5 linked regions of the Mus musculus genome follow. The protein of the gene in region 1 interacts with the protein of each later gene in a pairwise test. Links are inferred from orthologs where the notes say so. Each region holds a gene or a part of one and is shown on either strand. Other genes may lie near its edges.

Region 1 (4,050 bases):
GTCCTGAGGCCTGAAAAAGACTCCCGCTCTGATCTTTGTGTATTTACCAGATAAAACACTTGTCTTGCTGGTATCTTGTAAGAGCCCCAAAGAGAATGGGCCCCTGTCACAGTTTTATTTCCACTCTACTTAGTTCCTGGTAACCTTGACATATTCCTATTACAGCCAGTCCTCAAGCAAGCATGCTGCTAGCTGAGCCTTTGCTGCTATGGCCTGGAAGGAACTACCCATGCTTATAGGGTGCTAAAAATGTAGCTGGCATTGCTCCAAATGCCTGTGGACAGGATCTAGCCCACACCTGTCAGGTTACTCATATGATGACCAGCGCCCCCCATTTCATTCCTCCCTGAGGTTTAGCAGCTTAATAAATAAGTGTGGTCATGCCTGAAACTCTTAAACCACGATGTATTATTTAAATTAATTAAAAGTTCTATGTCTGAATTCGCTTTTAAACCAGTAAAATGACATTCAGGCAGATTCAGGAAACCCTAGATCTTTCCAATATTTCCTGGTTACCGTGTATACCCCTTTACCAAGTTCATTTCAGCAGGGTAACATAATGGACTGACACACAAACAAAGCTGGGCAGATAATTCTCAGTACCTACCCTCTGGACTGTCTGAGAGATGTCAACTCACAAACTCCAGTCCAGGTTCTAGCTCAGGAGACATAAGCATCTTGCTAATTGCCACCCACAGGAAAGAAGGACAATGGATAAAACTTCTCTGCCATGTTAGGAAACTTCACTGTGCCCAGTAATATGCCTCTACTGTCAGTCTAAATGTTAATAATGTCCCTTTATTTCTCCAAAGTGACCTAATTTAAGATGATAGCCCCCCTACCCAGCCACCCTTTATATGTCACCTTGGAAGCCCCAGACAATGCTCCTTCACCACAGCTTTTAAAACCCTATGACAGGGCCCCCTGGAGCCCAAAAATGAAAGTGAGAATACTGGGATTGAACCAAGTTCCCCAACCACAATGAAATAATGGAGGTGAGTCACAATAGCCAATGGTAGCACTTAACCATGAAAAGACAACAGTTTGCTGCTAGTTTTGCAGTGCTTGATATTTATTGCAAAGAATTACATTGCTTTTTTCAAGTACTAGAGAGGATCTGGGCTGAATGCCTGTCCGTTTGCTTTTATTTTAGTAGTCCTTGTCCACATGGACACATCTGTGAGGCTGCTGCAGTTCTGAAAGGAAACGTGCTGTGCAAAACTGATGCATAGGAGAAAAGACATGTCAACATTTTAACTGTCCGGCAGGCACATCAGGTTCCTGTTCTGGTCAGGCAGATGTGGAACCTGGTAGTACGTACAGAACTAACCAGTCGGTAAAGACTGGCTGGCCCCTTCAAGGTTTGGTGAGTAGTCCAAAACAGAGTCTGAATGGGTGGAGTAGCAACTCCATCATCTTCTTGGTCCTTATCTTGAAAAGTGCTTCAGATGAAATTCGGTGAGTGGAGGTGAAATGTCAGGAATCTGCTTCTGGGCAGATGGCGGACTGGCCTGAGTTCCAGTGGATGTCAGCAGCAGGAATGCAGGTGGTCTGACCAGTTCTAATAGGGACCTGGAAAATCGCTGGAACTCCGAACAGAGTTCAGATTAGGATAAGTGCCTGAGGCCAAAGTGAGTTTCAGAGCAAGGTCCAGGCCCAACTCACAGCAGGTAACTGGAACAAAGACAAGTCCTGAAGGGAATGATGGAGCAAACAGACTGGCGGGGAAGAGGATGGCCATGCAAAGGGAGAGATTGAGGCAGCAGGAATGGCGGGTGGGGGGTTGGAATGAAAAGGCGTGAAGGCCCCCACCTCTAGGCCTAAGGGGGCTCCGGCCTAGTGATCTTCCTCCATTTCTTCCTCTTCATCATCATCACCATCATCTTCGTCGTCGGTACCCCAGCCAAAATACTGCTTCATCTCATCAACAAAGGCCTGATAATCACCGAGGACGTAGCTATTTGACTCGATGTAAGGCATCACCCACTCCTCAGCTTCCCCGGAGAGGAGGCTGATCAAGAATGCCACTTTCATGGCATCATTGCAGAAGTGCTCCTCATTCGCAAGCATGTAAGACATGGTCTGCATGATAAACTCAGGGAGCCGACCACTCTCGCCGCTAAACCGTGAGGGGTAGGGCACCGGACAGCTCGGTGGACATACCTGGCGCAGCAGCCTGGCCCGCTCACACACCAACAGTCGCAGCTGCTTCAGGAGCTGGTGGTTCTCCATGCACAGGGCTTGGTGCCTATCCAGAAGCGCGTGCAGAAGCGACAGCAGCTCTTCCACCATGGTTAACTGCTTGGACGGTCTCGGTCTCGGTCTCGGTCTCAGTCTCGGATCGGCTCCACGGAGCTGCACAGAGAGGCTGAGCAGGAAGTGCGGGTCCTCAGAGGAGTGCGGACCCTGGGCAATAAATGGAGGGGTCCCAGCCAGCGGCAGAAACTCCACCCACAGGGTCACTTTACAAACCTGTGCGCTAGCGCAGTGCGGTAAGGAAGGTGTGGCTGGGAAGGGTGCGGGATGGCGTGGGGGCGTGGTCAGGGTGGGACTGGTGGCCAGAGTGGATGTGGCTGAGGAGGAGCAGGGCGTGACCCAGGAGCTTCGCTGCGGGGTCCCGCCAGTTCTTCCACCTGGAAGTAGGAAGGCTGAGGGAGCAAAGCTTGCCACAGTGGAGAACAGATGCTCAGCCCTCAGGGCTGGCCTGCTCCAGCTGAAACTTTTCTGCAGGCAGCCTGTTCATCTAATTCAGTGTTCCTTTGTGGGTCTGTGGCCATCAGCTTCTTTAAAGTGATCCTTTCTTAACACATTTTTTTTTCTTTTTTTACTTTTTATTGGATATTTCTTTATTTACATTTCAAATGGTATCCCCGTTCCCGCCTCCCTCCCCTCAAAACTCCCTATCCCATCCTCCTCTCCCCCTGCTTCTATGAGGGTGTTCCTCCACCCACCCACCCACTCCCATCTCCCCTCCCTCGAATTTCCCTACACTGCGGTCTCCAGCCTTCACAGGACCAAGGGTCTCTCCTCCTTTTGATGCCTGACAAGGCCATCCTCTGCTACATATGCGTCTGGAGCCATGGGTCCCTCCATGTATACTCTTTGGTCGGTGGTTTAGTCCCTGGAAGCTCTGGGGGTGAGGAGTGTCTGGTTGGTTAACACATTTCCTTGCTCATTTAAATCTCACTCGGAGAAATAACGCTGACTCTGTGGGCCACCGTGCAGGAGGTCATTTGGGTTCCAAGTCTAAAAGACTCACAGGTAGACTCACTTTCATTAAATAAATAAATAGTATGCAACAAAAGACTTCTCTTTGACAAGCAATTTTGTTAACAAGATTTGCAAACACCAACCAAAGAGAAAGCACAGGCTGGACCTAGGCCTTCCTGCACACATGTAGCAGATGTGCAGCTTGGTCTTCTTGGAGGTTCCCCAACAACTGGAGCAAGGGCTGTCCCTGTGTCTGCTGCCTGCCTGCTTGAGGACCCAGTTACTCTAAATGGTTTGGCTTGTCTGTCCTCATTTGGAGAGGGTTTGACTTGTTGGGTGTGTGTGTGTGGAGGAGGATGTTATTTTGTGAGGATTTTTATTCTCAAAAGAGAAGAGAAGGTGGAATGGAGGAAAGACCTAGGAGAGGGGACACTGGGAGGAGAGGAGCGGGTTGATATTGAGATGTAAAGTGAAAAAAATAAATAAATTTAATAAAAAAGAAAAAAGAATGTCCTCCCCCCAAAAAAAGATTTATAAAATGTATACAGGGTGTCCACTTGTAAACATCCTATCTTTGATTCTTATCATGTCCTGTTTATGAGTACCTTTGTTCCTGTGTAGTTAAACTACCATGTGCACTGTTAAATAAGCCTGTCTGCCTAGTTTGAATGTGATTAGTTGTTGATAACTAAGTTTCGTTCTGGGTCATCAAGCTGATACACAATGGGTCTGCTTTTAAAAATATATCTCCAAATTCAATCAATTCTGGTCCTATCTGCTACCCTGCTACATCGAATCCCTTAGCTGCCAGCCTTGCCCTTTAGCAGCATGCACTCTGTA
Region 2 (4,917 bases), on another chromosome or scaffold:
GCTCTGGTCATCAGGAGCCAGTATGGAATGAGTTTGGTGTGCCTTCTCAGGAACATCGGAGGAGAAAGGAATGGACAGATAAAACATACATGTAATGCAGTAGGCAGTATGGGCTAGAAGATGCAGTGTGCACAGGGTGGGGTAGGATACGATCCCAGTTAGGGCAAGCAGGAGAGGCTTCCTGGAGGAGGTGTTGTTGAACTGAAGCCAGGCCACACAGCTCTCCACAGATGCAGGTACAAAGGTCCCAAGGCAGAAGCAGACAGGTTGTCTCAACACCTGCTTTAGGGTTCCCACTGGCTAAAGTGGAATGAGCCAGAGTCACATGGAAAAGCACTGGGTGGGAGGGTAGGGAGATTATGAGAACTCAGACTATACAAGTCCTTGTGAACAACTGGGACTTTGTTCTCAGTGCCCAAAAGGGAAGCATGGAGAGAGGAAGGCGGGAAAGCAATACTTCTGTACTCCAAATCTAGAGTCACCAGAGCCACAGACAGCATCCAAGTGTTCTTGGAGGACCTCCTATTTGCCAAAAGTAGCCACATGGAATCCCTTGGTAATGAGAGGCTCAGTGTGGCATGTTGTCATGAGGCTGGTTTGATTTTAGAAGGAGGCAGGAAACTACAGCTTTCTAGAGACAGGTCTGACCACATCCCAACCTGGGGACTCCTGCCTGGAACTGCAGTGGCCCTGGAGCTTCCTCCCATTGCATCCCCAAAGTCCCAGCACCAGTCTATGGGCTGACTTACACCCGGCATGCCAACTGGGACATCTGTCACCTTCTCAGAACCACATCAGGTGCCTGCTCTGCTTGGATGTCTTTCATAACCTTCTCTAAATGCCAAACAGAAGGCAAATAGCTATTCAGTTGCTGGTCCAAGTGTTCTGCTAGGTCAAGAGGCCTGTGGAGCCCAAATACTATGCTCTGTTGACCTTGCTAGGGCCAGGCTTGTCTCACATCTATACTCAATAACTCAGATAAGGCTCTTCAGATCCATTAGGAAAGCAAGGCTCAGACTGCCCAAGGTGCTGAGCCAAGGTGCTTGTCTATGATCATACAGCTCAGCTGCGGAGATTGGCTGAATCCACATGTAAATATGGCTCTACAGCTTCAGCCCAGGATGGGTACTTGCTTGTGCCAATGAGATGTTTGCTAAAGGAACAAGCAAGCCACGACAGGCAGCCCACTGTACCTCTAGGCCAGGTTGGAAGGCAGAGCATATGTCATGAGACCTAGGGAACACTGCCCCTACCCAGCTTCCCAGAAGGCTGTGGAGGAGGCCCAGGTCTGGAACTCACCAGTTGTCGATCTTGGGTGACATACAAGGCAGGTACACACTCAAGGGACTAAGGAAAACGTGGAGGGTGGGGCTCTTCTAAGCTCTAGCTCTTCCATGTAGACTGGACATCAATGTTCTTTCACTGCTAAATGTTGGACTTGTTTACTGTGGCTGGACCTGTTCTGGTAGCTTCCAAACATAAGAGGCTGGCCACTTGCCTTCCACTCTGACAGCCTGAGGTAGAGCGACAGACAGTGCCTTTCTTAAGGCTAAATGTGCCTTCCTGGAAGAGGCTTTTGCATAGAGTACACTGTGGCTGCCTGACAGAGAGCTTGTTGTTCTAGGCTCTATCCTCAGCACCACAAAACCATCCATTATGCTAGGGAGACAGCTCAGTCTGTATTTTCCAAATATCCGACCTGAACTCTATACCCAAATCCCAGGTAACAGCCAGGTGCTTACCAGGTGGTGGTGGCAAATACCTTAATCCCAGCACCTGGGAGGCAGAGGCAGGTCAGTCTCTAAATTCAAGGCCAGCCTGGTCTACAGAGTGAGTTCCAGGACAGCCAGAGCTACACAGAGAAAACTTGTCTCATAAAACCAAGAGAGGGAAAAAGTCAGATTCTGCTGGGAAGTACAGACAGGCAGATCCATGCGTTTTAACGGTTCAGGCAGCCTAGCTCAATCAGTCTAGTGACCCGAGTTCGATAACAAGAGCCCATGTAAGAGTAGCAGGGGTCTCCTTCCTCCACACACCCGCAGAAACACACAAATGAAGATTTCTTTCTCAGATAACGCTGGGCAAGATGCCAGGGTCCTGTTTCTGTGCAGGGCCTTCATGTCTCAGCAGTCTTTGTTATTCCCAGTCAGGATAGCTCTCCCTGATTCTTCAGTTGCAGCTGCTAGTCCATTATGAAGACATGGCCCCAATAGGTATTCATCTATTTCTGTTTTTTCCAAGTGACTAAGTTGAGCTATGACAGATTAGGCTAACCCACGGTGGCCCTGGGCTTAGCACCTGCCTGGCGAGGATGCTTCCAGGCCGCTACTTCCCAGTAATCAGTGTGACTCTAGGCACTGTTTCCCCCTCTAAAACCACACTTTTGTTTGTTTTTGTTTTTCGAGGCAGGGTTTCTCTGTATAGCCCTGTCTGTCCTGGAACTCACTTTGTAGACCAGGCTGGCCTCGAACTCAGAAATCCGCCTGACTGCCTCCCGAGTGCTGGGATTAAAGGCGTGCGCCACCACGCCCTTCTTAAAACCACACTTTTATCATCCGCTTCTCTTAATGTCATAGGAAGCTCAGTGGCTCTAGGGAACGCTGAAGCCTGTGGAGCGAGGGACCGACCTAAGGCCATAGTTCCCGCCACGCCTCTGGCCAAGGGTCGCACGGTCCCCGGGGCGCAGGGTCCTGCTACAGGAGTTCGCAGGAGAAGCTAGAGTCCGGTACCCAGGCGAACAAAAAGGGAAAGGGGCAAAGCGGACAGTTACCTAGCAACCGCAGCCCACCAAGTTGGCTAGCAATGGGGCGGGACTCGCGGAAAGACCACCGCCCATTTCCTAGTAACTTGGTAGGGCTGGCAAGTGAGGCTGCCCCGCCTGCCTGACGCCCTAGCTGGGCTGGTCGGCCAGTTGCCTAGCAACAGGGTGGGTCCTGACAGGGCGAGGGCCCGTTGGTTGCCTGGCAACGCGGAGGGTGGCGAACCCTTCAGTACCTTGCCCTTCAGATCCAGTACGTAGACGGCGCTGGCGGACATGGCGGCTTTGGAAGGTCTCGGCAGTAGCCGAGGGCGGCGGCAACGGCAGGAACTGCGGGCGTTCAGCAAGGCCCGGCGCGCCCCGAGACACTTCCCCTCCACTTCCGGTCCATGAAGCAGCGCGTGGACCGTTATGTCCGGTCTGAAGGGAGCCGCAAGTGCGCAGGCGCGTAACTGAGTGCAAGCGCAGTAGGAACTTTTTGGCAGTATTTTTCACCCATAGCTCAAACGGGCCGGAAGTCAGGGGGCGTGGCCTTCCTGAAGAGCGGGGCCTGGAGGACCAGGGCGGGGCAGCTTTGTCATTACTCCTTGTACCTGAAGGACTAGCTGTGGAATGAAGGTGGACGCTTCCAAGCCTGTTGCTGTGAGAAGACGCTGAAAGCGGAACCGATTTGGAGTTGAGCCTTTTTTTTTCTTTTTCTTTTTTTGTTTTTTCGAGACAGCCTTGCTTTCTGCAGAAGTCAAGTAAACTAATATCCCGTCACTGACTGTGACTCGCCGTTAGGTGGCGCTTAAAGGAAGTCAGTCTCCCAATGGCAATCCAGCCTTATCAGCAATCACTTGTCACTGTCAACCTCTCAACTGACTGGGCTTCACCCGTCTTGCCCCAGTGAACCCAGGGTAGCACGTGTGTAACTTAGCCTGTGCCTAATTCACAGTAAGGCTGAGCCGGGCGTGGTAGCTAGCGCACGCCTTTAATCCCAGCACTCTGGAAGCAGAGACAGGCGGATTTCTGAGTTCGAGGCCAGCTTGGTCTACAAAGTGAATTCCAGGACAGCCAGGACTATACAGAGAAACCCTGTCTCAAAAAAACAAAACCAAAGTAAGGCTGATTAAATTTTAATTCTGCCATTCTTCTTTTTTCGAGACAGGGTTTCTCTGTATAGTCCTGGCTGTCCTGGAACTCACTTTGTAGACCAGGCTGGCCTTGAACTCAGAAATAAACCTGCCTCTGCTTCCCAAGTGCTGGGATTAAAGGCGTGCGCCACCACCGCCCGGCAAATTCTGCCATTCTTAACCACCTTTCTGCCACCGAGAGATCAAAGGAGCCCATCAACACTCCTCCCCGCCCCAAGGGCTTTTTTTTGTTTTTTACTTTGTGTGGTTTTTTACTTGTGTGACACATAGTGAAAGATTCCCGAAGGGAGACCCTTACTCAGACACTTAAGTCCCGGGACAGCCGCGTACCCAAGAAGACACTGAGACCATACATAAAATGTAGAAGGTAAGATTTAATAAAGCAGCGACATGAAAGCACACAGACCAGAGCTCTGGGGTCGAAATAAAGCAGCAACATGAAAGCACACAGAGCTCTGGGGTCGAAACTCATACACCTTAGCACAGGGTAGAGGAGTCTCGACAGTCAGCCAAAATTTTTCACAGGCTTATATAGTAAAACTCAAAGGGGGAGAACTGGGCAGGAAAAGTACAAGTTTACATCACTAGGGAGTTCTGCCAAAGGAATCTAGGTAACTAAGGAGTCATGTCCTATCAAGGAATCTACGTCAGGAGGCCTTTATCTCAAAAATGTTCTTGGAACAGTTTTTTCGAACTTTAGGGTGAGGAGTTTTGGGGTGAAAAGTTTAGGAGTGTTCCGAGAACAATCTCTAGATGGGAGGGGGTGGGCTCCGAGGTAAAAAATTCATGTTCTTACAAGAGGCCAGTAATTTTTCATTCTTCATTCCCCACTTCTTCTTGTAAGTAATTCTAATCTTAGAATTTCAGAAGTCTATATCTCTATGTGGAGAATACTGCATTTACTCTATCTTTAACATGGGAACAACAACAGAATAAGGCAGATTAGTAAACAGAACTAGGCAGGGACCCTTCTAGTGAGGCTTGAGGGTCTCAGCATGACGCAGGTGTACGCAGATCAGATCT
Region 3 (4,984 bases), on another chromosome or scaffold:
CTCTGATTTAAAATGATCTCCGTGTCATGGTCTTCTGCTGCTGGTTTGCGATGAATGTAAGTGATTAAGAATAACCTCTTTTCCTCTCAACTGTCTGGAGAGCCAGGGATGGCAGATCTATCCTGCTCTCCCTATGTGTTCCATTAGATTGACATATTTTGCCTCATCTGTCACCTTCCTCAAAACTCTGCTTTCAGATAGGAGTTAATTCATTTTTTTTGGTTGTCCTCAATGTTCTAAAATAGTGATGTCTGGCAGAATTAATGCAGTGCTCTAGTTCTCTCTGTTCGGCTGATATTTAATTAAAGATCTGGGAGGCCATCTTTCAGGCGACACCGTGGAAGGAGGAGCCTTACTCCCTCCTTGGACAATGTGATAAGCCACATGGCAGAGGGTGCCTCCTTCAGGCCTCCTGTTTAACAGACTGCTTCCCTGCAAACAGTCCTCCAGCAGGACAGGTTGTATAGCACTTCCCTTCACACTGACTGTATGCTCAAACACATGATCTCACAGGCATCGACTCTCTACTCCCTAACCTTCTCCACATCCAAACTGTTGGTAAGTGGCACCACTCCTCCCTCTCTATATTTTTTTAATCATAGCTTCTGTCCCCCACCTCCCCACCCCAGAACCTCTCAAGGCACTGAGAACACTTATTTTGTAATATTTCTTGAATCTCTAATAACACAGGAAAATCTTTGCACAGTCAGAGCCACCTTGGAGCACAAGCTAAAAGAAGCTATCTTTAAAAAATTTTTTTTTTCTTTTGAGTTAATATCTTCTGGAGACTAGCCCACTTGAGTTGATATGTCATAATTTTTGATTCCGAAAGCGGCATGGGTAATTTAAATTGGCACTTGCTATGCATTACTGAAATAATTGTTCTCCGGGATGGCCTTTGGAAAGCCTAAACTTCTAATCATGTTTTGACTATACAGGAACCATAAGGGATGTGTCAACGTAAGCAGACTCCAAGAGCAATAGACTAACAAACAGACTCTAGGTGGTGGTATAGGTTATTTTTTAATCACAATGTTTTGCTCTTAAAGCTGTAGGAGTCAAAGCCTTGGCCTTATCCACAAACATTTTGCCATTGCTAACGCACAATATTTTCAGATCTCTCGATTATAAAAATTCAAGTTCGGCAAAGTTTGGAAACACAGATAGGTGGCTCTAAGTCTTCTCGTAGCCACTGAAGCCTGGTTTCCAAGTATCTTGAAGGCACTTCACAGGACTCATCTGTATACAAACAAGCAGCAACCGAACTTCCCTCCTTAGAGTTTGTATGTCTACTTTTTAAGTATATTTTCTTCATGCTCCAGTCCCTGAAAGGCTAAGTGTGGAGAGAAGTGTCCCCAGTAGAGTTATTATAAAACAGGCTGGAGTAAGTATCTGGTTTGCAGGTACTGCCTGCTACAATTCTGACTCTCCTTCTTTGTCTACAGTAACTAAGTCCTGTACAGAAATTTCCTGTTGGTTTTGAAGTCCCTGAATCAATTAAACCCTGTTGGATATTACCAAACTGCTGGGCAAAACCAGGGCAACTCACTTGGAAGTGGAAGATTTCAACATACTCCAGACAGCAGCCACTCTTAGGGGCCGTGCATAGGAAGCACCGTTTGTTTAAAAAGTCGACTTATTTCACTCTTAGACAAAGGTGGCAACCTGATGATTAAACACTGGATAATTGCATCTGGAAGATGCCGCCCACTTGCTAAACCTGTGATTCACTAATAAGCGGGTTCAATGTAATTCATAACTTTAAAGAATTACTAAAGCCCCTGCTTTACAAAACCCAAGAAACACAGACCACACATCATTTAAGCATGTATTCGTATACACAGACACAGACAGACAGACAGACATGCCAATCTTGGTTTACTTTTAGTCTGTCTCTCTTTCTCTAAAAACACGGTTTTCCTTCAGTGTCACAATCAGCTTACATGAGCAGACAAACTCCAGCCTGGTGCCACAAAAAAATGAGTTAAAAGTTCTTGCACCTAATCATGTCCGGACTTTCCCCCAACTAAAATGACCCATTAATTAAAACAACAACGACGACGACAAAGTATTTTAACGTGAAATTACCTAACGTTCCGTTTTTCGTTTACGACCTCCAGAATCCAGTTAAATTACTGACATGATGGAAGGTAGAAACTCCTGGAATGCCTTAGAGATCAACATGTGTCAGACTCTCTGCCTGTCCGCCTTTTAAACACAGTGGATTCCTTTGTTCCTTCAGTCTGAATATCAACTCCTGATTAAAATTTGGAAAGTACTTTGGAAAGGGATAGGAGGGTCTGGGGAATGTTTGCACGCTAGAGGGTTTCTTCTAACAACAATAGTATTAAAGGAGGACAGTGGCACCAGAGAGGAGAGCGGTCTCCCCGGACTTTACCAGGCTCATGCGAGTGAACCCCCTCTCGGATGCTGGGGGAACTGGGCTGAGGCCTCGGGTGCAAGGAGCCTCGCCCTCCCTCGGCAAGCGGGGAGCTCGTGCCCAGCAGGCCGGGCCTGGGGCTCAGTGCTGCCCCTTCTCCGAGTCACTTTTCCCGGCCGGGGATCGGCGAGCACCGCGCAAGGGAGACGGCAGCGATAGGCGGGGAGCAGCGCGGGCGCCACCGAGAGCACCGCTGGGCGGCAGGACCGAGCGGCGCGGCAGCCAGCGCCCGGGGCTCGGGGCCAACGGGGGCAGCTGGGCGGGCGAGCTCGACCGGGGCCCCGCGACCCGGCCACCCGCGTGGGTCCCGGCGCAGAACACCCAGGGCGGCTGCGCCCCTCGCGCCAAGGCTGGCACGGACGAGCCCGCGGCTGGGAACTCCACAACTTGGCGGCTGCGCCGGCCGGGCCCGCGAGTTCCAGGGGAGAGCCGGAGCGGGGCGCGGCGGAGGGCTGTCCCCGGGATCCGTGTTCCCGGAGCTCCCCGCGGGCCTCCCCCGGCCTCCGCCGCCTCCACGGGCCGCGCACCCAGGCCGTGCCCGGGCGGCGCGGCGTCCGCTCCCGCGAGCTCCGCACGGAGCCCGGGCCGCGATTGCCACTCACCGAGGCCGCCGCGGCTCCGGGCCGCCGATCCGCGTCGCTCCCTCCTTCCCAGGTTAGCCGTGCCCTGCGGCCGCGCGAGGCCACGGGCGCTGCGCTCGGGCGGGCTGGGGCCGGCTCGTCCTCCGCCTGCGCCGCGGTCGCCGTCGCCTCCCGAGTTCGGGGCTCTGCTGCAATGTCTGCGAGGCTGACTTTGAGCGCCTCGCTCGCCGCCCGCCCGCCGCAGCCGCGCTCCTCCCTCCGCCGCCGACTTCGCGGCGGCCGGGTCCCTCCCCTCGCTGCTCCACGCCATTCAGCTCTTCAGCCAAGTTTCTTAACCCTTTTCTGCCCCTCCCTCCCATTGTCACCCGGGCCGAGCGCGCACCCGGAGGCTCGGCGGAGCCGGGGAGCCCACCGGGCGTCTGCAGGCCTCCTCGCCGGTGCTCCGGGTGGGGGTCCGGGACTGATCGGCCTTGAAGGCAGAGAGAGGACGCGGTTGGACCCGGAGAAGGAGGGGGTGCTGTGCTTCCCGAGCCGGCGCCCTGGCTTCCCAGCCCCGTCCAGCCAGCCGCCTGGACAGATTCCCCGCTAGGGGCCAGGCGATCGCCCATGTCACCCGTGCCGGGGCAAACGCTGGGGGCACCACAGGGGCGTCGGGGCACCTTAATCCTACCCCAGGTTCCCCAGCCTACGTGCTGGCACCTTAAGTGTCTCCCTTTCTCCCGTTTCACCCCACAAACACGCGTTCTTTTGGCGCCCTTTACCCACCCTCAATTTCCACCTCCTTAAAATCTGTGTCCCGCTCAAATCCCGGAAGCTGCGGCGCTGTATAACTCTAGGTCATTTTGACCCCATGCTCAGCACCTAGTAGGACCCAGTGATAAATATGGCATGATTCCAAGCGGAAAACTGGAAAGGAGACCTGAGGAGTGCACAGCTAGCTCCCTAGACGGACGCAGGACCCAGGAACCTGGTTTCTCTTCTGCTGCTTTGTCACTGCGAAGTCTCCAGCAGGGTCTGCCCGCCAAACTGCACCACCCCCAGGAAGGATCTGACCCAACAGGACTAGGAGATGGGCTGTCACTTCTTTAAAGCAGCTCTTGCTGGGTTCAGAGTCTCAATAAATAACAATTACATCATATAGCCAGGGTGGCAATGCAGGGAAACTTGGGTTTCCTGCAGCCTGGTCTCGCTGAACCCGCCTCTAAATTTGAGGTGGGCTAACAGATTGGTGAGGCGAGAAAGTGGAGGGAGGAGAGAAAAATAAGAAACCATGATCTCTTCCTCGCCTTGTGTTTTCTGCTTTTAAAACCTATTCTCTCTACTCCCTTCATATCTTACTTGTGAAGCCTCCTTTTAACGCTCCCCCTACCCCAGATGTCTCTGTCTCGTTTGTTTTTGACTCTAGTCATGAAAAGAATTACCTGCGGGAAGACTTGTGGTTGCAGAAGTTGTTTTTGTTTGACATTAAAAAAAAAAAAAAAAGGCTAAAGTACATCTTCGATTCACCCTAAACTCTGAAGTGCTATCCCTGCCTTAAAATACTTACTAAGACAATTTTGTGGATGAAGCTTTCTACTCTCATATGTTTTCATATCCTTAAGAATTTCGGTAGCATTTGGAAGCAGTTATTGATGCACACCAAAACCAAAAATTATCCAAGTGACCCAACCGTATTCTTTACTGTTATATAATAGCTCTATAGCTATTTTTCGGATTTTTCAAATGAAAAACGTCTGGGGTATCTTCCCAATCTTTAAAGTAAAGGCAATTTTTCAAATCAATTCTTAATAAAGCTATATTCTAGCACAGTCCTGAGCACATGCAGGAAATATTTTCCTTAATGGCGATGATGGTGCATTTTAAAATACTTATTATCTGTCCTCCTAGTGACTCACCTATGCAATCTGTTGTCATCTAAGGTAGTGTCAATCTCATGTAACAGCATAGCACTCGCATATGCCGC
Region 4 (4,997 bases), on another chromosome or scaffold:
TTTCCCATTCACTTTTTTTTTCCCTTTCTTGAGACAGGGTTTCTCTGTAGCCTTGGCTGTCCTGGAACTCACTCTGTAAACCAGGCTGGCCTTGAACCCAGAGATCCACCTGCCTCTGCCTCCCCAGTGCTGAAATTTAAGGTGTGAGCCACCACTGCCCACTCACTTTTTGTGATAATTAAAAGAAATAGGCTGAGATTCCGTGACTGTTGAAAAGAAGAGTCACCCCGAGGTACAAAGCCAGCATCAGGCTTCCTTCCACCCTGTGCACGTCAGACAGTGGAGACATGCTCACTTAACACTCTGTCCCCTTCACCTCAATTCTGTGCCTCCAACCCTCCTCCCAGAAGATTCTTTTCAGCTTCCATACGCAAATCCTATCCGTGGTTTAGGTTAACGTGTAGCCTTCTCCAGGAAGCCTTCCTTGACTCAAAGGTGACCTTTTACCTCCTTCTTGGCCTCTCAGGAACTTCAATGCTGAATAGAAATTCCCTCGTAGCAAGATCCTGTCCCTGTCTAGTAGGACCCCTACGGGCTATGGAAAGTGAAACATCGCTGTTTCTTACCTGCTCGCAGGGCCTGCGACGCACCCCCGGAGGTGGCCCTAGGGCTCGTATGACTCCTGGCCGGGGCTGAGGGGGACTGTACTGGGGATAGGCCAGAGGTCGGGGATAGCCAGTGGGTCCCAGGAAATGAGGCTGCACCATCCAGTGCAGTTCCTGGCTGCTGCTGTCGATGCTTGGCACAAGGTGGAACTTCTGAGAGATAAGAAGGGAAATGATAAGGTCTGTGTGGACTGAGGGGCTTCCCGGGGACAGAGGCTGGACTTCTGTCTCCCTTCACCTCAGTGTAGATACCAGTTTTGGGAGACCACAAGGAGCAACATTTGGCAACCAGAAACTTACTTGTTCAGGAGCTGTGTGATTTTGGGCAGGTCACAAAATGTCTCTCTTCGTCTGTCTGTTTCCCCACCAGAGATAGTTTGGTTTTTTGTTTTAAATCAAGTATGGACTGCGTAACACTGTTCCAACTATTTAACAAATAGTGACTCACACAGCTGCCATAATCCTGTTTTCAGACAGGAGAGCAGTTGCCCATAGACCCACAGCTAGTAAGTAGAAACTAAGATTTGAGACCCAGTCCTCACAGATGGGCATACTTTCAGCTTCTAGCTCCCAAGGCAATTCTGAGAATCAGGATGAGAATTTGTTGTTTGGGGGCCGGGGGTGGGGTGGGCAGGATCTCACATAGCTCAGGCTAGACCTAAACTCACGATTCCTCTGCCTCTACCTCCCAGGCACCAAGACTATAGACATGTAGCACCAGAGCTTGGGAGTCCAGCATCAGCTTGGAGCTTGGCCATTGATGGGCTTTGAGACTGGGGCATGTTATTTAGTCTCAGTTTCCCTGTTATTAACATCATTCAACGTTCCATTGCTGTTGAGAAGCCAGCTCTCATAGCTCAGAAATCAGAGTTTTAATCGGCTTTTGTTTTTGTTTTTTATTTTTTAAGTTTTGAGACAGGATCTCTATTATGTAGCTCTAGCTGACCTGGAAGTCACTTTGTAGACCAAATTGGCTTCAAACTCCCAGAGATCTGCCTGCCTCTGCCTCCTGAATGCTGGGATTAAATGCATGCCTAGCTGTCGACTTAAAAACTTGAAAGTTCAAAATTGATGGGGTTTTTTAAGTCCATGAAATAAAGTGAAGAGAGTAAAAGCCTCCTATAAGGGGTCTGGCATCCTTTCCTTCCTTTTCTTGCAGAAATCTGAGGCATGTGTTGGGATTGAGTGTCGGTGGGGGTGGGGGCTCAGCGTTCTGGGAGAGAAAACTGGGTTCAAGCTCTGTGAGCTAAGGATGTGGGGCCCCTCCAGTCCAGGAAGCACCTCACATGCTTAGGCAAGTCTGGACAGCTATGTCCCCAGCCCAATACTGGGGGACCCAGCATCTCAGTGACCCCCGTTCTGGGCTAGAAGCACTGCCAGGGGCATCTCTCGCTCCCAGGTCGTCGGTCCTTAGGGGCCGTTTGGGGCCAGGAAGGGAGGGGCACCCAGGGTGACTCAGCCTCAGTGACTCGGCCCGCTGTGACTCGGCGAAACGGACGCAGCTCCTTCCCTCCCCTGGCGACACGTGCTCGCGGCCCCTCGACAGGAAATGGACACCTGCAACCTCTCAAGTGCCCCTATCCAGCAGTGAGAGACGTCGGGTGCCGAGAATGTGGAGCGCGAGTGTGGCCGGGCAGGTGACCCCGCGCACATCCCAACACTTCGTGGTCTCCAGGAACCCCTCGGAACCACTGCCTGGGGCCCATGGGCTCTATACTGCGCACAAAGAGATGAGGACTTGACCGGATAAAGGGACACGGACAACCAGAGCAACACACGGACAGCCTCGGACAGGCTGCTAAGAATTCTCTGTCCCGGCTGAGTTCTGATGGACCCCGTCTCTATGTGCCCAGACCCCAGGTCCCAGTTATTAACTGGAGATGGAGAACACCTCTGATCCTGTCCAGGCAGGGATGGGGCAGGTATTTAGAGGGACAGCGTATTAGGGGCAGATAGGAGGAAATGTAAGACCGTAACGGAGACGGAGGGGCAGAAAGACAGTCAGCTAGGGAGATACGGGCGAGCGAGAAGGGGAATTCGCAGATATTCGCGCTTCCCGCTGCGCTCGTCCCCTTGGCCACCGGGTACATAGGTTCCCCGACCACACAGAACGTGCAGGATCCTCGGTCGCGACCACCAGAGTCAGATGCTGCTCGGGGCCCCAGTCCAAATCCCGGAGCAAACTAGACTAATCCCAGCATCCCTGATGCTGTCCAAACTCAGGTCCCCCCCCCCCCGACGATTCGGCCAGTCTCACCTGCTGCTGGGCGGTCTGTGCCTGAGCTTGCGGGGGCTGCGCGGGGCGACCGTACGGGCTGCCAGCCCCGGAGCTCGGTCCCGGTTCCCCGTAGTCTCGGTACATGCCCTGGGCTGGATGTTCGGTAGGGTCCGCGTTGGCGGCTGCGGTTCTGACTCACTCGCGCCTCTCGGAGTCTGGTCTTTTTTATGAATGAAAAGTTCTTGGGCTGAACCACTTGCACCACGGGGGGTGGGGGCGTGTCTCAGCGGCGCCTTTCACCTCGCAGGGGACCCACCTCTCCAGATGAACCTCTGTGGACCGGTCCGCTCGGAACTTCACGACCCTCTGCTCGGGTGGCAAGCCGCCTCTACAGACAGAAAGCGACCGACTTGGCGTCCCCTAGCATCCGCGGCGGCCACGCCCCCCTCTGACGCAGCTGCCCATACATGGTGCAATTTCCTTGCCGCGCCCAGGTGCACCGAGGATTCCCCCTGACGCACCTTGCCGAAGTTGGGGCTTGCAACTGCGCCCCGCCCCGTTCAGACTAGCCAAGGTTCCCAACACAGGGCGAAACAAAATCCTGTGGCCGCCTGGCCTCGCGCCAAGACTTAGAAAGAAGAACGGGGAGAGTGTCTGAAAGCTGGGAAGTGAATTATAAATATGGGTTATTATTATCATCATCATTATTTACCTGGAGAGAATCATTCCAACTGTCACCCAAGTCTGCAGTCCTGACTTAAGACCGCTCCTCTCAAGTGGGGTGAGAAGTTTCTTTAGTTGAGTTTGCTTTGCTTGTGGTTTGTGGAGGGAGGTTGGTTGAGACAGGGTCTCAGGTATCTAGTTGAGGCTGCCCTTGAACTCCTGATCCTTCCGTCACCTCTCAAGTGTTGGACTGTGCCACCATCACACCTGGCTTTTGTAGATAGGGTCTCTTGTTGTGCAGGTTGGCCTTGAACTCCTTATGTAGCTTAGAATAACCTGCTTTCACTTCTCAAGTGGAGGGCAGACATTACAAATGTGCCCCTCCACACCCAGTTTCAACTGTTGTCAAGGTTTTTGATAGACTGAAAGGTTATTGACAAACCAGGGTTATGAAATGTTGTTATATTTGAATACTACGTGAAGTGGCATTTAGTGTACCCACAGATAGAAGGCGCTACATGTTTGAGACCGTCTCTGGAGCTATCACAAGCTTTAATCCAGGCCTCTACAGGCAGAGAGCGCCTACAGAAGGACATAGGTGTCCTGAGACACAGTCAGTAAGGCTTCTTGACTGAAGGTCTGACTGGAGGCACTCCTCCAGTACTATGTGTGTCACCAGCCCACTTTGGAAGTATGTGAAAGGCCTTGATACGGGTGAGGTCCTGACCAGGTGTGCTGAGGAGGTAAATGCCATCATAACCCCCACTTCTCAGATGGGAAAAACTGAGGCTGACAGGTATTGAAATGAGTTGCTCAAGGCCACTGAGTAAGTGGCTGAGTCTGGTGACCAAGTCAGGCCATGAGCTTCAAGCCTTTACATTGTACGTACACGAAGAATGGCAGACTGGGAGAGCATGGGTCCCAAAACTCTTTCTCTGATTTCTTCCATCTCAATGGAGACTGAAGAAACTTGTCCTCAGGGAAGCAGAGGCCTGGGCTGTCTTCATTGGGAACAAAGGCTGGGGTTCTGCTGTTTGGACTCAGGCCTGGAGGCCAGTATATCTCATCATAGAACTATACTTTGTGTCCATGTGACCCGGGGAGGTCTCCTTCCTGAGTCTGGGGTGGGCCTCACTGTTGACCTCACAGGGCTACTATGGGACCAAAGGAGACCACGGATGTGACAGAGCTTTGCTGTTGAAGCATCCTCAAAAGATCACCAGCCTAGAGCCCCTCTAGGGCTCTAGGGCTCTTTCCTTAAGCTAGGAAAGAGAAATGCAGGCATGTGTGTTGGGGATTAGGGGAGGAGGGGAGAAGAGTCTTGGTAGTGAATCCATAGAAAGAATACGCCTACATGCACGGTACACTCAGAATGCTCTGGGTTCTGGGTTTGAATTCTGGTTGGGCTGACCATCCACTGTGAATCCAGGATGATTCACCCAACTGTGACCTCCTGTTTCCGCATTTGTGAACTGGGGGCACAGTGACAACTGCATCTGAAAATTGCTAGA
Region 5 (4,871 bases), on another chromosome or scaffold:
GAGCCCACACCCACAGTGATACACCTACTCCAACCAGGTCACACCTATTCCAACAAGGCCACACCTCCAAATGGTGCCACTCCCTGGTACAAGAATATACAAACCATCACAAATGGTGTTTGTTTTTTCAAATTTACTAGTTATCAGGGGGCAGCTAAAATAATGAGATGAGCCGGGTAGTGGTGGCACACACCTTTAATCCCAGCACTTGGGAGGCAGAGGCAGGTGGATTTCTGAGTTCAAGGCCAGCCTGGTCTACAGAGTGAGTTCCAGGACAGCCAGGGGAACACAGAGAAACCTTGTCTCAAAAAACCAAAAAAAAAAAAAAAAAAACCAGAAAAGATATATATATATATATATATTATATGAATGAAGGTCACACCCAACCACCAGCCTAAGACTTAGTTTGACTGGGCATGAGTGAACCTTCGACACTACTTCTGGGAATTCAGACTTACACAGGCCCTTTGGGAGTCCACCTAGCAGTACTTAGCTCTATGAGGTTTGTATGAGCCAAGACTCAAACGTCCTCCTAGAAGGAAGCTGTGGATACATGTGGGAGCCTGATAAGCAATGTCAACCTTCATTCCAGTGTGAGCCTGAACAGCTGAAGCCGAGGTAAAGTGCACACTATGCTGACAGTGGCACATTACACTGCAGTCAGAAGGAACACACTAGATCAAATTATAGTATTCTAGAGAAAACGTCATGTGTGTGTGTGTGTATTGGCAGTAAAGAACCAGGAGGAGGAGTAATTCTATGAAACTCTCCCCTCTGGACACATGCACAGAGCACCCATGAATACCATCTTCGTAAGAGCAAGTCACCAAAATAAGCAATATTCTGTCAGGAAGCACTAACTGGACTCTGTTGGTTATGAGTGGGGTACAGAGGGAGAAGTCACAAAGTGGGAATTTACAGGGGGAGTGGGAGGAGTTAGAAAAAGTTTATGGTCCAATACCATTTATGGAAAAACAAAAAACCCTTTAAAAAGCACACATTCAACACAAAACAGCACGACCAGAAGCTGTGTTCATGAGAGCATGGTAGGATGGGATGGGATGGGAAGGAGTGGGGCGATGGACAACACTGACAAAGGCCCACACATGAAGGACTTTACACAGCAAGTGCAGGGGAGGCCACCCCTGGTGTTTGGAAATCCTTTGCCAGAGGAGTCACAATCAAACTTGGCTAGGTGACAAGGAGACTGGTAGCCTCAGCAGAGACAGGAGAGTAAGGAGAAAACAAAACTGAAGCTAGCCACAGCCTGAGAAACCCTCTTGCCTTTCTGGGTAACTTCCTAGTGTGGTGTGGACTTCAAGGGTGACTCGGGTGTTTAAGGCAGGGCTGGCAGACCTTACCTGTGTTCAGTCAAGACCTTTGACTCTCTCCTGTCCTACATGGACAGCACTGGCCCTACCAGCAGGCGCTCTTGACTTACAGACAACCTGCTCTGCTCCCCACCTCGACACCTTCATTCCGGAGCAAGAAATAATCGCTAGGGTCAGGTAAAGCTCACAGCCTCACTGTGGTAAGGTGAAACGGATACTCCACAGAAAACAGAAGCTAGACAGGCCCAACACATCATGTGGCTGTCCTCTGCACCTTGATATAAAATATCAAGTGTCCCACAAGGCTATGGTTGGCAGATAACGAAAGCATATGTTTGTACCATGTAACTTCCTCAGATGAAGACTCAAAGGCCTGAGAGTGGCTGCGACCTATGAAAGGTTAGAGCAGGGCAGGCTGGAGATTCTTCCAGACAGACTGGTAAGGTAAAGAAAGGTAAAGCTAGCTGTCTTCTATAGACAAAATCCTGAGGCTAGAAACATTCCTTAATGGCCACTGGGCTCACCCTAGTGCCTCTGGGCTAGAATGCAACCAACCAACCAACCAACCAACCAAAACTGCACACATAAACAGGTCATTCTCTCTTTATAATCTTCAGACTCCCACAACACAATGCCAATTTTTCTAACTCGTATCTATGGCCATCTCCATGGCCCTCCACTGACCTTATCTCACACGGCTACAGAGCTCTCATGGGGAGTAGCCGTGCCCTCAATAAGGAGACCAATCAATGCCTGTTTGTTCAAGTCAACAAACATGTTCTTGAGATCAAATATTACAAGCCCAGCTCTATAGCACTGGAGGCAAAAAAGCAAAGAGAAAGTGGGCAGCATGACTCTTTAGCTGCTGAGTTGGTATTACCCAGTCAAGTGCGTGCTTTGTTCCTCTCATCACCCACAGAAGGAGGGTGGCAGGAGGCAGCTAGAGGACCAACACAAATACCTGCTGAGTCCAGCAAGCATTACTAATCTGCTGGCCACAGGCTGGAAAATAAAACTCTCTAGTAGATAAATTAACAGTTAATGGCCTCTCAATTTTTAACTAATTAATTAAAAAAAATTTTTTTTTGGCTTCTACCCTGAAAACGCATACCCATCAGCAGAGAATGGAGGCAAGGGCAGCCTGAGCCCAGAAAGTACTTCAGGAGAACGGACAGCAAGAATCAAACGCAGCATTCAAGTCTGAAATCCAAACACTGTCCCCTCGAAGAAGGGGTCCTAGAATATGGCTGAGTAGGTCAAAGTTCACTGCCACACCAGTGCTTGAATCCAGATGCTTGGAGTTGAGGGTGTAGCACGGAGTATTCTACGGCAGATGCTTTGGGTAAACTGGTGGATGAGGACCTTGAGGAAGCTACTAGCCTGTCTCAGTCAGATCCACACAACCCCGGCTGTGTCGGGGACGCCTTTACACGTCCGTTCCCGAGTTTACACGCACGCTGTGCCCGTTGTCGGCACCAGCACCAGGCGCGCTAAAGTGCGGCATCAGAAGCCTCGCTCGGGCCCTGGCTTTGGCACGGTCAGGGCAGGCCTTTGGGCCTCGGGCTGCAGACTCCCCTCCACCCGCGTACCTGGTCGCCCGTGCCCAAGGCATAGTAGCCGTTTGTCACCACTTCCCAGTGCAGGAAGCAGACGAGTGCGTCCTGCGGGCAGCTCATGGATGGAGCGGCCGACGCGAAGAGAACCTCGAGACCCGCCATGGATGTTTGCGGCTTCTGTGGGAAAGGAAGAAAAGGAGGGGACTATGCAGAAAGCCGCTCCGCCTAAGAGAAGCGGGACCGCGAGCGGCAGCGACGCCTTTTGATGCCGCCTTCGCTTTCGGCTCTGTCCGCACCTGCGCGGAAAAGTGGAAACGCGGAAACGCAGAGACGCGCACCGGAAATACTTGTTGACTTTGTGCGTGCTCCGGGCTGGAAACACCTGCACCGAACTAGAAGGTTCCACTAAGAAGCGCGCAGGCTAGGGCTTATCTTCTCAAAGCCTTTTTGCCTGCAGCAGGCGACTGCTGAGTGCCAGGCTGTTCGTTCCTGGGGAGAGACTGCCTTCTACCAACTACAGTAGACTTCTCATCTGCGAAGTGGAGTGTGTACTAGGCCGGGGGAAAATTTAGGCAATCTGTCTTAGATGTTTTCATCGTAATTTATTAGCATGCCTGCAGTACTTCTTGCCTGATAGCACTTTATTCTACATGCTAAACTTTAATGCATTTATCAAAATTTCCAGATCCAGTATTATACAGTTGGTATTGATGACAGTACTCTGCCACTACATAGATTTGGAAATCGTGTCACAATCAGCCAGTGAGCAATAGAGGTGCCCCTGGGAACTGGTAATTTGGTCTCTAGGATAGCATTTATATGTATGTTGATTGCATGCTAAATCCTGTGCCAAAACCTTTACATCCCCTCTCAACAAATTCATGGGGTATATTTTATTACCCATCCTCACTTTGCGAGTGATATAAAGAGCAGAAAGAGTGAAATGACTTCACCCAAGTAAACACAGCTTTTGACCACATCTAGAGCCCAGAGATAACTGACAAATGCTAGCCACTTGTGCCCCAATCTCCATCAAGATTTTTTTAACCACCTGTTGTTTCTCCATGTTTCTTGAAGTCCAATACTTTTTTGTAGACAAATAAATTTTGCCATGTTGGTTGGTACCATGACCCAAACCATTGTCATTTTTTTTTTCTTGGTTGCCTGGCATCAGCCTTGTATGCTACACTGGTTTCACCCTACAACCAGAGAGATTCTGTTAAAACACAGGGAAGACCATGTTCCTTAGGCCCAAGCCACACCTCAAAGGCGAAGTTCACTCTAGGTCTGTCACCCTCTCACTCCACAGGCCCTGTGCCTTTCTGATATCACCTCCAAGTGTCCTTTCATTCTCTGATCTCCTTGGCTCCAGTGACCTTGACTTCTCTCAGCTCTCATGCCTAGGTTAACATGCCACAGGTCTTGCCCTGATGGAACTTTGTAGTGTTTCTTTTTAATAGACAAAAAGCAATCCAGTATGAAATCTGTCATTTGGGGGTGCTGAGAGAGCTATACAAGGCCCACAGGAAGCCTATGTTCCAAGCAAGGATCAGGAAGGGTTTCTTGGATTAAGAAATGGCCAATTGCACAGAACTCTCATGGAAGAATAAAGAAGAAATGTTCCTGTAAAAGCATATAGCATACGTGAAGGCACCAAGGTGGGAAATGTAGCTACCCCCGTGTAACTGGAGACTCAACACTGCCCCTCTCATCTCTTCCTCATCTTTAACTACTCTCCACACCTGTCCTCAGCCTGGATGTCATGACCCCCAGGGGTTGCATAGCAGATTTCCCTCAAATTAGATATTTATATTGTGATTTATAACAGTAGCAAAATTACAGTTAGGGAGTAGCAATGAAGTGATTTTATGGTCGAGGGTCACTATAACATGAGGTACTGTATGAAAGGACCGCAGCATTAGGAAGGTTGAGAACCACTGCTCCACACTGTGCTCAAGGAGTTTGGTGGTGTGCCAAGGGGGCA

Evidence for each region.
Region 2: the proteins of Ldoc1 (region 1) and Ap1m1 interact in binary tests that used the Homo sapiens proteins (3 or more experiments, as listed by UniProt). The two-hybrid records come from large-scale screens. The link is inferred for Mus musculus from reciprocal best matches to the Homo sapiens genes LDOC1 and AP1M1.
Region 3: the proteins of Ldoc1 (region 1) and Nrip1 interact in binary tests that used the Homo sapiens proteins (3 or more experiments, as listed by UniProt). The two-hybrid records come from large-scale screens. The link is inferred for Mus musculus from reciprocal best matches to the Homo sapiens genes LDOC1 and NRIP1.
Region 4: the proteins of Ldoc1 (region 1) and Fosl1 interact in binary tests that used the Homo sapiens proteins (3 or more experiments, as listed by UniProt). The two-hybrid records come from large-scale screens. The link is inferred for Mus musculus from reciprocal best matches to the Homo sapiens genes LDOC1 and FOSL1.
Region 5: the proteins of Ldoc1 (region 1) and Psmf1 interact in binary tests that used the Homo sapiens proteins (3 or more experiments, as listed by UniProt). The two-hybrid records come from large-scale screens. The link is inferred for Mus musculus from reciprocal best matches to the Homo sapiens genes LDOC1 and PSMF1.

The regions. Positions count from the first base shown.
Region 1 is NC_000086.7:61,707,952-61,712,001, reverse strand, and holds Ldoc1 (protein LDOC1), read right to left. Parts: upstream 2,392-4,050; 5' UTR 2,293-2,391; coding exon 1,837-2,292; 3' UTR 1,052-1,836; downstream 1-1,051. UniProt on the Homo sapiens protein: May have an important role in the development and/or progression of some cancers.
Region 2 is NC_000074.6:72,238,321-72,243,237, reverse strand, and holds the start of Ap1m1 (AP-1 complex subunit mu-1), read right to left. Parts: upstream 3,221-4,917; 5' UTR 3,037-3,220; coding exon 2,995-3,036; intron 2,987-2,994; exon of another isoform or gene 2,628-2,986; intron 1,515-2,627; exon of another isoform or gene 1,300-1,514; intron 1,294-1,299; exon of another isoform or gene 750-1,293; intron 301-749; exon of another isoform or gene 1-300. UniProt on the Homo sapiens protein: Subunit of clathrin-associated adaptor protein complex 1 that plays a role in protein sorting in the trans-Golgi network (TGN) and endosomes.
Region 3 is NC_000082.6:76,369,830-76,374,813, forward strand, and holds the start of Nrip1 (nuclear receptor-interacting protein 1), read right to left. Parts: upstream 3,221-4,984; 5' UTR 3,043-3,220; intron 1-3,042. UniProt on the Homo sapiens protein: Modulates transcriptional activation by steroid receptors such as NR3C1, NR3C2 and ESR1. Also modulates transcriptional repression by nuclear hormone receptors.
Region 4 is NC_000085.6:5,445,921-5,450,917, reverse strand, and holds the start of Fosl1 (fos-related antigen 1), read right to left. Parts: upstream 3,221-4,997; 5' UTR 2,968-3,220; coding exon 2,863-2,967; intron 759-2,862; coding exon 567-758; intron 1-566.
Region 5 is NC_000068.7:151,738,091-151,742,961, forward strand, and holds the start of Psmf1 (proteasome inhibitor PI31 subunit), read right to left. Parts: upstream 3,221-4,871; 5' UTR 3,065-3,220; coding exon of another isoform or gene 3,050-3,064; coding exon 2,921-3,049; intron 1-2,920. UniProt on the Homo sapiens protein: Plays an important role in control of proteasome function. Inhibits the hydrolysis of protein and peptide substrates by the 20S proteasome. Also inhibits the activation of the proteasome by the proteasome regulatory proteins PA700 and PA28.